Linked DNA regions of Callithrix jacchus. The protein of the gene in region 3 purifies or fractionates together with the protein of the main gene of each other region. This does not show direct contact. Links are inferred from orthologs where the notes say so. Each region holds a gene or a part of one and is shown on either strand. Other genes may lie near its edges.

Region 1 (3,646 bases), on a different chromosome or scaffold from region 3:
GCCAAAGAGGCACCTAGAAGCAGCCCCCTAGACACCCACAGATGTGCACACGGGCACCAACACGGGCTCACACGCATGCTGCCAGCTCCCAGGCTGGCTCAGCCCTCACCCACGCCTGGCCCCACCCCTCACCGTCTCCGGCCGTTTCTTGTCACTGAGCTCACTCCGGTTGAAGCACTGGCTCATAATGGGATTCTTCGAGCTGCACATGGTCTGTGTGGCAGAGCCGGGGTCAGGCTGGAGCACAGGGACAGGCCCCTGGACACAGGTGCAGAGTTGTGGGTGACCCCTTCCCCCTCGGCCCCCACTTCAGGTCCCTCACCTCCTTCAGGTTCCGGAAGAGAAGGTCATTGTTTTTGTCCAGAAACCCTGGGAGGGGAGAGCACATGTGAGGTGAGACAGAGGCTCCCTGCGGCCCCCGTGAGGACCCAGCCCAGGATCCTCACCAGTCACGCTGTAGGTCACCTCCCCAGCGTAGTGCAGAAGGCGGAATTCCTCTCGGCCCAGAGATTTCCTGGTCCGCTGGTCAGCCAGCTTGTGCCTGAGGTGATGGGGAGGAAGCTGCAGGTGGCCGGACTGCAGGAGGGATCTCAGGAGCAGGAGCCAGCCACCCAGCAAAGAGTAGGCACACCCCAGGGCTGGGTCGTAACCCCTGCGCCGTGTGGGAGGCCAGACAGGGCCAGCAGCCTCCCCCAGCAGAACAGACCACAGTGGCTCAGAGAGGTAGACAGCCTTGCCCAGGGCCACACAGTGCCAGGACCAGGGCCTGGGCCTCCTGACTGCCAGGGCTGCTGCAGGGAGGGCAACTCTCGCTGCTTCGGGCTCTGCTCGAAAGGGGGTGGTGAGCTGCCTGCTGCTTTTCAGAATGGAATCTGCCGCCTGGAGAGAGTACGTTAGTCCAAGGCGTGTTTATACCCTTTGGTCCACTTACTACTTTTAAGAACTATTCCAGGCAATAACCAGAAATACAGACAAAGATAGAAGCATGGAGATGGGTGGTAGCCTTGAGATTCCAGCAGAAACCTGGGGTTGGCCTGGGGCCCCCAAAGGCCAGAGGAAAAAGTGTGTGGGTCAGAGCCTCGGCAAGGAGGGTTTTGAGAAAACTTTCTGTTTGATGCTGCAGGAAAACACTCAGGATACAGCATTGCCCTAAGCCTTGTATACAATAAGTTCCTGACTACAAAAAAAAAAAAAAAAACATATGGAAAAAGGCCAGAGGGAAATGCCTGGTGCTGTTGACAGCCACGGCCTGTAGCTGACAGGTTCACGGGGCTTTTGCGAACATTCCAACGCTTCTCCAACGAGCGGGATCATTTTTATAACCAGAAACAAGTTTTTTTTTTTTTATTTAATGAATCATGCGGCCCCCAAACCAGCATAGATTCAGAGAGACTCCCAGAAACAAGTTTTTTCCTTTTTGAGACAGAGTCTCACTCTGCCACCCAAGCTGGAGTGCAATGGTGGGCTCACTGCAACCTCCACCTCCCGGGTTCAAAGGATTCTCCTGCCTCAGCCTCCCAAGCAGCTGGGATTACAAGTGCGTGCCACCATACCTGACCAATTTTTGTATTTTTAGTAGATGGGGTTTCACTATGTTGGCCAAGGAACTCCTGATGTGAGGTGATCCACCTGCCTCAGCCTCCCAAACTGCTGGGATTACAGGCATGAGCCACCACACCTGGCCAGAAACAAGCCTTATTATGCAAAAAAATACTATGGCTTTGGCATTCAACAGCCTTGGGACTGAGCCCCGCTCAGCTCCCCAGATGAGAGATGACCTGGGGAAAGAAAGGACTTCCCCCTGGAGTCTCGTGAGATGCAGGAACAACAGGACAGCTCCCTACAGAGCGGCTCAGGTTTGGCAATGACGCACGGAACATCCTGGCCGCTGGTTCCTGTTTCTACCTCTCCCCACTTTAGGGGATTCCTTCAATAAAAAGCAATTTCCAAATAAGGAAGCTAAAAAAATCTCAGCAAGTTTTATTCTCAAAAAAGAATAGGGAGGAAACCAGGCTACTAACGTCGTCTTTTTTTTTGGAGACACTGCAACCTCCGCCTCCCGGGTTCAGGCGATTCTCCTGCCTCAGCCTCTCGAGTAGCTGGGATTACAGGTGTGACCCACCACACCTAGCTAATTTTTATATTTTTAGTAGAGACAGGGTTTATGTTGGCCAGGCTGGTCTTTAACTCCTGACCTCAAAAGATCCACCTCTTCGGCTTCCCAAAGTGCTGTGATGACAGATGTGACCATGTGCCCAGCTGTCTTTTTCACTTTTTGAGATGGGATCTTGCTCTGTGGCCGAGGCTGGAGGTGGATTGATCCTCGCTCACTGCAGCCTCAAACTCAGGGCTCAAGTGAAGCTGTGGCCCTAGCCTCCTGTGCAGGTGAGACTCACGCGTTCAGCGTGCTTATCTAAGCTTCTCAGTTTTCTGGGTGCTTGTGAGGGATCCTTAGCTCGGCACCTTCCCTGGACACCCCCTTGCGGCTGTGAGGGATGCCTGTGCTCCACAGGCTCTGCCCCACAGGAACCTTGCTCCAGCTGTCCACAGCCCCACTCACGTCAGGAAGTGGGGGTGGTGCTTGACGGTGTCCTCCAACTTCTCCAGGAACGTCAGGTCTGTGGCCTCGCCAGGGCGCAGACACTCCTCATCCTGGGGGGTGTGGCACAGGGGAGGGATGTGTGGCGGTGGGGCCAGAGAGCAGAGAAGATGGGGGCACCATGACGGGAGGCACAGACACAGGGAGGGGTGGATCTGCAGGGGGCCTCGGCAGGGAGCTTCCAACCCTGGCAGCGACTCCCTCCGCCCTCCATTCACAGCCCGGCCAGGCCCTGACTCCAGCCCTCTGTGGGCCAGCCTGGAGAGGAAGGAGACAGGGCACCTGGGGTACTCCCCCACCAGCCTCCAGCCTGGAGGACTCACCAGAATGGAGATGATGCCCTTGAACTTCTCCTCCACCAGATCGCAGATAACCTTGTTGTTGAAATACAGGACAGGCTCCCACTGAGGGGGACAGGGAAGGAGGCATCACCGTGGGGGCCCAGCGTCCTCAGCCACAGCCAGGCTGTGCCATGGAGAGCGCCCCCAGGCTGTGCCCACGGAGAGTGCCCCCAGGCTGTGCCACAGAGAGCACTCCCAGGCTGTGCCCACGGAGAGCGTTCCCAGGCTCCACGCACCGCGATGCCCTCGGCCTCGTACTCCTCCTGCTCCGACTTGAGCGTGAGCTCGATGAACAGCTGCTGCAGCTTCTCGTTGCAGTAATTGATGCAGAACTGTTCAAAGCTGTGAGGACAGAGAAGAGCCCAGCGCGGCTCAGAGGGCACAGAGGACCAGGAGGGGTGGAAGGCAGGACAGGGCCCCTGAGCACAGACAGTACAAAACACAGAGCCGCCCTCTGGCTGGCTGGGCAGTCCCAGAGCAAGAATCAGGCTGGGGGACAGAAGAGAGGGGCCAGGCCAGGAGACCCAGGAGGAGGGCGGGACAGGGGAAGGCGGCACTGACCTGTTATGCTGAAACACTTCAAAGCCGTAAATATCTAGCAGCCCAAGGACGGTAGTGCTCCGCCAGCTGGGGCTGTCCACATCCTAGGGCAGTCATTCAACCAAAGACATGGCCCCAGCGATGTCTGCCAGCCCACCCACAGCCC
Region 2 (3,584 bases), on a different chromosome or scaffold from region 3:
ATGTTCTGCACACATTCTCTTTTCACTTTCAAAGTGTGTGACTATGGGCATGCAACTCATAATCTCTGTGCCTCAGTTTACCCATGTTCAACAGGAATACTCACATGAGGATTACAGGAGTTAAAATGATAAAATGCTTAAAATAGTAAATTATTTGAATTTTATAAAGTCCTTGGTACATTACCTTAGTACAATTAAGTATTTATTAAATAAATACATTTTAAAGAAACCTCATCAAATCCATACACCTGTGAGGCATCTGCCCAGAGTCACAGAGCCAATCAATCAGGTGAATGGGTGATTCCAGGCTGGCAGGAAACCTCCAGTGTCATCTGCACATGTCTCCACCACCCACTGACACAGGGACTGCACCATGTATTCTTGTTTGTCGTGGGGCCTGGTATGCTTCTTTGTATTATACTGTTAAATACACGGGGCTAGGCCTTTGGAGGATCCCAATGTTTTAAAAGGGCAATACGAATATAATTCCAATACATAAAAAGTATGATGGCAGCAAGAATTTAGTTACAAAACCCCAGAATCCTCAAAGCAGAGAAGTCACACAGCCCTGTGCAGTGTTACCTTTGCCTCGAGTCTGGACAGGGCACAAGTCTTATTTAACTGATTTCACAAGAAGGGTCCAAGAGTTTTATTAGACAATCCATGTCAAGGTACAAAATGATTAATGACATTAACAGCCATATTCTATTAGCCAAGTGCCACCTATCACTATGAAACTATCCTGTAGGACATCCCTGGGCTCTCAGCTGCTAATGTCTGCTTGAAGAGCTCAATGTCCTCAAATCAAGATCCTAACACAAAGATTCCAGAGAGTGGCTTAGAAAGCCCAGCTACTCTTACCAATGTGGGGAAGGGGTCAGGGGAATGAACCCCTGCAGGGCAATTTGAATTCTCAAACTGAGTAAGAGGGAAACAAATATGCAGACAGGGTCCAAGGCCTCAGGTGGGTCTGGGTCAGAGTGGGAGACGTGAGAGGCAAAATGGCAGGGACTTAACAGCAGGTTCCTCCTGTCTACTTCTTCCTCCCGCCTCTCTCCTTGAGGGCCAGGTGGATGACGGCACCATTGGCCATGTTGTAGTAAGCCAGTGAGTTGGAATCTTTGATGAAGATACCCTGGAAAACAGAGAGCATGCCTTAGCATGGGGCAATCCAGCCTCGAGCATACTGCTGCAACCTTACAACTGTGCACTTGGTCCATTTGTGCTCTGGATTTAGCAAATACAGGAACTTGTGAGACAGTAGTGTGCTGGGGATTAGAGGCTTCTCATTCTTCTTACTGTTTGCTTTCTTCCTACCAATTATGCTCCTTTCCTTTATCAACATTTGACTCAAAGCTTAACTCCCCAAAAAGTTGTTCCTGACCAACCCCATGGAGCTCTGACTCTGAAATCACAAGACCTTTAGGAATCACTTAGTCCAACAGCCTCAATTTATAGAGATAACTGAGGCCCAGAGTGGGGATTTGTTAAAGTTTAGATAAGAAGAACATAATCCCTCCATGTGACCTGGCAGGCTTCAGGCTGGGCTAGACTATCACCTCCAAGTTGGGCTGCCTGAGGTCATACCAGCATCACTGGAACCAGAGTATGCCTAAGTCTTGTCCCTATATCTCTATGCCCAGTCACTGAGGCAAAGTTCTTACAGATCCCACATAAGACTGTACTGTGTCCCCACCAGAGCCTTGCACTGTTGGGCACACCTGCCCCAGCACTCCCAGCCAGTATCATCACTTCTAGGATGGATTCAGATGGCAATACCCAGGTATCACTCAACTCCCCTTTCTGTTTCCATGAGAGATTTAGCTTCTGTATAAGCAGGTGTCAGGATCCAAGGGGCAGGTCTGTGGACAAATTGACTCACCTCGTACTGTAGCTTCTGTTTCCCTGCAGGCATGCCTGTGGCTTCGTGAATCTTCACCTTAATGACAGAAACCTGTGGAATCAAGCAGAGGTCATTCAACTCCTTGCTAAGGCCGGCTGGAGGAAGCTTTCCCCTGATCTCTTGGTTCTCATGCACCTGATGCCAGTTTGTGGCAGCAACTCGTAATACCTGGTCCGTGAGCGGGAGGGTGAAGACCAGCACCTGCCCATTCAGTTTCCATTCCGTCTTATCCTGCATGTTGGGCACCTGGACTTTGATGGACACTGGACCCTATAAAACAGGAGGTGGTCATTATACCCAGGGAGCCCTGAGCCAATCAGGAACTCTGCTCTGCTATCCTAGGCCTGTCCAGACAATGTCATCGGTGAATCTGGGCTGCTAGATTCTGGCCTGATTCACCAATGATACCGCTTGTGAGGTTGTAGAAGTCACTCCCCCTTTGCAAGACTTAAGTTTCTTTTCTTTAAAACAATCTCTATCTTGTCTCCTGGTGAGTCTGGAGCTAAAGTGAAGAACTTAGGTGAGTGTCTGTAAACTATTTAGCTCTATCCTGGTACTTGAGTTAAGCGGTTTTTTTTTGAGACAAGTCTTGCTTGGGAGTGCAGTGGCATAATCTCATCTCACTGCAAACTCCATCCCCCAAGTTCAAGTGATTCTTCTGCCTCAGCCTCCCAAGTAGCTGGGATTACAGACACCTGCCACTGTGGCCCAGCTAATTTTTTATTTTTAGTAGAGTTGGGTTTTCATCATTTTGGCCAGACTGGTCTTGAACTCCTGACTTTGTGATCCACCTGCCTCGGCCTCCCAAAGTGCTGGGATTACAGGCGTGAGCCACTGTGCCCAGCTGAGTTAAGTGCTTAAGAAATGAGATTATTAAAAAACAAACAAATAGTGTGGGTGCGGCAGCTCATGCCTGTAATCCCAACACTTTGGGAAGCCAAAGTGGCGGATCACTTATGGCCAGGAGATCGAGACAAGCCAGGCCAAAATGGCAAAACATCGTCTCTACAAAAATACAAAAATTAGCTAGGTGTGGTGGTGCACACCTGTAATCCCAGCTACTCGGGAGGCTGAGGCACAAGAATCACTTGAACCAGGGAGGCAGAGGCTGTAAAAAAAAAATAATAATAAATAATGTGGTCAAATACCTCTGGGGGAGCAGAGGCTGGGGCTGTTTCTGCCTCCTTACTGCAGCCTGACAGCTTCCCTAGAGATTGGCAGTGACAAGGTCCCCACCTCCCCTTATTCCAGGAGCTCAACAGAATCACCTCCTAAGGGCTCAAGCTGGGGAGGAAGGCCGTATTAAACTTTAAAACACCACACAAAATTTCCTCCAGGTGTCTAGGGTCCCTCTCACACATGAGTTGTTCTCCCTGCTAGCCTCTGTAAGTCCACACCAGGGGGACCACTACAGTCACCACCTCTGCCACCACCACCATCCCCATCACCACTAATGCTCTCTGCTCCTCCAATTGTTGGCCCCACATTCACTGTGTGCTCAAAAGCCCTTAGATGCCTCCAATAGCTGACCTAGGCCCCAGAAGTAAGACTGGGAGTGAAACACCCTCAGTTTGGGAAGTGTACAACAGGGGTGGGACTCTCCAGCTAGAAACTTCAGCAGCATTCTGGGATCACATACCTTGTTTCTGCGCAGGAACTCCTCCTCTGGCATTAGGCTGTC
Region 3 (3,746 bases):
CACAGGTCATTTTTCCTACTTAGACTGCCCTACTTTGGATCACATAACTGCAACCCTGAACGAAATGAAGGACTTGGTACCTGACCCAGAAGCCAGTCATCTTTAAACCAGTCACAGAGGCTTCCAGAGACCACAGGTGGCCTGGCCCAACAAAGGGGGTCTACAGGTCCAACCAGGAGCTCTCTGGAAATTTAAAATTAGAAGTGACAAAATTAAAAATAAGCAGACAAGGCCGGCCATGGTGGCTCACGCCTTAATCCCAACACTTTGGGAGCCCGAGGTGGGCTGACCATGAAGTCAAGAGATTGAGACCATCCTGGCCAACATGATGAAATCTATCTCTACTAAAATACAAAAAAAAAATCAGCCAGGCAAGGTGGTGCATGCCTATAGTCCCAGCTACTCTTGAGGCTGAGGAAGGAAAATCACTTGAACCCAGGAGATGGAGGGTGCAGTGAGCTGAGATCATGCCACTGCACTCCAGCCTGGCGAAAGAGCAAGACTCCGTCTTGGAGAAGAAAAGCCAGTCACAAGAATGAAGAGCAGACCTATAAGTTACTCTTGAATCACTGGCACTTTGTTGCTATCATAAAAGAAACAATAAACCTGTATAAGCCTCCTATATCCAAAATTGTTTTTGATACTTATCTCCTGATTTTTTTTCCCTTGCTGTCACCCAGGCTGGCGTACTGTAGTACAATAATGGTTCACTACAGCCCCAATCTTCAGGGCCCAAGCAATCCTCCCCTGGCTTGCCATACCTCTCCATGTGTACGCCACCACACCTGGCTAATTTTTGAACGTTTCATAGAGACAGGAGTCCCTAGGTTTCCCAGGCTTCTCCTGCACTCTTGAGCTCAACTGACCCTCTCCTACCTTGGCCTCCCATAGTGCTGGGATTACAGGAATGAGCGACTGCAACTGGTCCTGATCTAGCCTTAAGTATAAACCTTTACCACCTGAGCAACAATGAACACATCTTTTTATCATCCTTAAAGAGCCTAATGAGCATACATGCCCAAGAGAAAATTTACCTTCTGATGGATGCTCAAAGCCACAGTCGACAATGGCCCGGAGCAACTCTGGCTTGAGCAGGAAGTCACGAAAGCCAGAGCTGTGGATGGAGACATAGGAGCCCTTGACATCCTTCTTGGCAGGGGCCTCAGCCCCATCTCCCCCAGCTGCTGTCTCCACCTCATCATCTTCATAGTCCAAGAGCTCATTGTCTACATCGTTCTCTGCCATAACTGGGCCGGCAGGGGAAAAAGGGAAGGGGGCTCTGGATGGGTTCTTGGAAAATAGGTGAAAACAAGGGGTGAAAATTAGGGGGTTGATGAACAGCAAAGGAAAGCAAAGATACTAGTTTCTAAAAGAAGAGCTGCAGGGGGGGGGAGAAAAAAAAAGCAAGATTTAGTCATAAGCAGAGCCTTCACCTCCTCTTTTCCATCCCCAGTTCCCACTTCCCCTAAACTGGGAAACTTTTACCTGGAAAGAGAAACAGATACAAAACATACAAGCGAAAAGCAAATAAAACAGCATAGAAAAAGCAGTCCCAGGGAAAATGCTTAGGACACAGGATCCCAACAAGATTAGCAATCCGAGTAGCAGAAACCAGAAAAGTTGGAACAGGAAGACCAACTTATACATTCTTGATCTGGGCCGGGCGCAGTGGCTCACGCCTGTAATCCTAGCCCTTTGGGAGGCCGAGGTGGGTGGATCACCTGAGGTCAGGAGTTCAAGACCAGCCTGGCCATCATGGTGAAACCCCATCTTTAAAAATAAATAAATAAAAAGAAAAAAAAATAAATTCTTGATCTGAAAGTAACAAGGATGAAACAAAATAGATAATAAAGGATAAAATACTACTAATAACTTGGAGAAGTGGAAAATGGAGATGACAGAGTCCGAAAAATCCTCATAGGACCGCGCTTTCCCTATTATAATCCCAACGTGCAGATGCCTAACTCAGCAGCCATCAGTCAAGGGTGATAGATGAGGGTCATCACTGCGCAAAGCGCTCACCTTTCGAAAGGAAAACATCATATGGCCGCCGTCCACCTCCCACTTCTCAGTACCCTCCCTTCCGTTAAGATATCCTTGTGTAATTAGCATGGGGCGGGCAGTGCAAGACAAATGGCTCAGCAACAACAACAAAAAATTTCACGTCTCCACCCTACAATAAGCTAAGAGTTGACAGAGAAAGGCAATCCCCACCCAGGCTTCGACAAAATCTTTACCAAGTGGTCTCACATCACTGTTGCGCTACGAAGGTGAGACTCCTTTCTGAGAAACATACAATGACACCAATCGTAAACACTTGGAAGGCACTCCAGATTAGGTTGGGCAAGTCGAGGTGAGAAAAATCCAACCGGCTCCTCCTCCCAGCCCCATCGTGGGCCGAGAAAGGGCCCAAAAAAAGACAAGGAAGGTGAGAAGAGCCCCGCCCTCCGCAAATACCAAGACCAAGGGACGCCTAGCGCCGCCTCTCATTGATGATGAGGCCTCCAATATGAGAAGAACCCACTGGATGAAGGGAGCAAAGCGAACACAATGGCGCCGAGGACACCATCTTGGATTGGGCCCCCTCTTAGCTACCCTTCCTCCCCCCAGGAACAGTTTGCTCTCGAAAGGGATGCAGGCTACAGAAATAACGAACCAACTAGGCCCCAGCGATCAGACCAGCGCCTGTGAAGAGGGTATCAGGAACCCATGTGACGGGATGGGTACGGAGAAGCGCAGATGAAAACGGATTGTAGCGAAGGCCGAAGCTTACCTAAGCAGGGAGAGCGCGTATGGCGGCAGCAACAGCGACGAAGGAGGGAAATCTGCCTTCACTTCCGGTTGCAGCCTTCTCTCTACTGCGGCCTCCCGCCTTCTTGGCTGCAAGAGCGCAGGCGCAAAGGACCGGAAACAGGGCCTTCCGCAGTTGTATGGATCCGCGCGCTCCAGGCTTGCCTTTGGAAAATGCCTGTCTGAAATTTGTTTTAAAACCATTTCTAACTTCCCTGCTACCGCCAGTAACAAAAGTTATAAAGGAAACTAACATCTCCTCCCACTGTTATCTTTCTGATCTTTTTCTACTCTTCTCCATGCCCCTCATCTCTTCGTTTAGGTTTTTGCCACGCAGGTCTTCTCTCTAGGCACCCCTCCATGGACGCGCGAGGAACGAGAGTGGCAAGGCCTGCGAGTTCCCACGGGGTCCTTGGCCCTGTAGTGAAGGTGACCTGAGGGCGGCTGTGCACGCACTAGGAAACGGCAGGCCCTAGCTGAGGGAAGTCTAAGGGAACTGGCGTACTCGTGGGTGTTGTCCGACTCTTTCCCTGTGGTGGGGCTGGTGGGCGGCATTTTCCCAAAACGATGCTGTCCTAGGTAGCTGATCCCTAGGGCCAGTGAGTCCGGAAGGTGTTCTGAATCCGAACGGGAGACTGGGTCTGGATTCTCCCCTAAGTGTTAATAGTAGGGCCTGAGGGTTATACTACATTTCATTAATTTTGTTTTTTGGTTTGAGACGGAGTCTTGCTCTTTCGCCCAGGCTAGAGTGCAGTGGCGCGATCTCGGCTTACTGCAAACTCCGCCTGCCGGGTTTGAGCGATTCTCCTGCCTCAGCCTCCCGAGTAGCTGGAATTACAGGCGCCTCCACACCCAGCAAATGTTTGTGTTTTTAGTAGAGATGGGGTTTCACCCATGTATGACCTCAGATGTTCCACCCACCTCGGCCTCCCAAAGTGCTGGGATTACAGGCGTGA

The links.
Region 1: the proteins of DDX39B (region 3) and MYO1C purify together in Homo sapiens (affinity purification with mass spectrometry; 5 studies listed by BioGRID and IntAct, with this or other methods). This does not show direct contact. The link is inferred for Callithrix jacchus from reciprocal best matches to the Homo sapiens genes DDX39B and MYO1C.
Region 2: the proteins of DDX39B (region 3) and SF3A1 purify together in Homo sapiens (affinity purification with mass spectrometry; 3 studies listed by BioGRID and IntAct, with this or other methods). This does not show direct contact. The link is inferred for Callithrix jacchus from reciprocal best matches to the Homo sapiens genes DDX39B and SF3A1.

What each region holds. Positions count from the first base shown.
Region 1 is NC_133506.1:66,755,793-66,759,438, reverse strand, and holds part of MYO1C (unconventional myosin-Ic), read right to left. Parts: intron 3,585-3,646; coding exon 3,502-3,584; intron 3,283-3,501; coding exon 3,177-3,282; intron 3,004-3,176; coding exon 2,923-3,003; intron 2,653-2,922; coding exon 2,561-2,652; intron 542-2,560; coding exon 447-541; intron 370-446; coding exon 323-369; intron 214-322; coding exon 133-213; intron 1-132.
Region 2 is NC_133502.1:200,934,198-200,937,781, forward strand, and holds the end of SF3A1 (splicing factor 3A subunit 1), read right to left. Parts: coding exon 3,543-3,584; intron 2,174-3,542; coding exon 2,072-2,173; intron 1,955-2,071; coding exon 1,883-1,954; intron 1,136-1,882; coding exon 1,034-1,135; 3' UTR 635-1,033; downstream 1-634. UniProt on the Homo sapiens protein: Component of the 17S U2 SnRNP complex of the spliceosome, a large ribonucleoprotein complex that removes introns from transcribed pre-mRNAs.
Region 3 is NC_133505.1:39,026,356-39,030,101, forward strand, and holds the start of DDX39B (spliceosome RNA helicase DDX39B), read right to left. Parts: upstream 2,828-3,746; 5' UTR 2,774-2,827; exon of another isoform or gene 2,657-2,773; intron 2,586-2,656; exon of another isoform or gene 2,238-2,585; intron 2,049-2,237; exon of another isoform or gene 1,971-2,048; intron 1,379-1,970; 5' UTR 1,246-1,378; coding exon 1,035-1,245; intron 1-1,034. UniProt on the Homo sapiens protein: Involved in nuclear export of spliced and unspliced mRNA. Component of the TREX complex which is thought to couple mRNA transcription, processing and nuclear export, and specifically associates with spliced mRNA and not with unspliced pre-mRNA.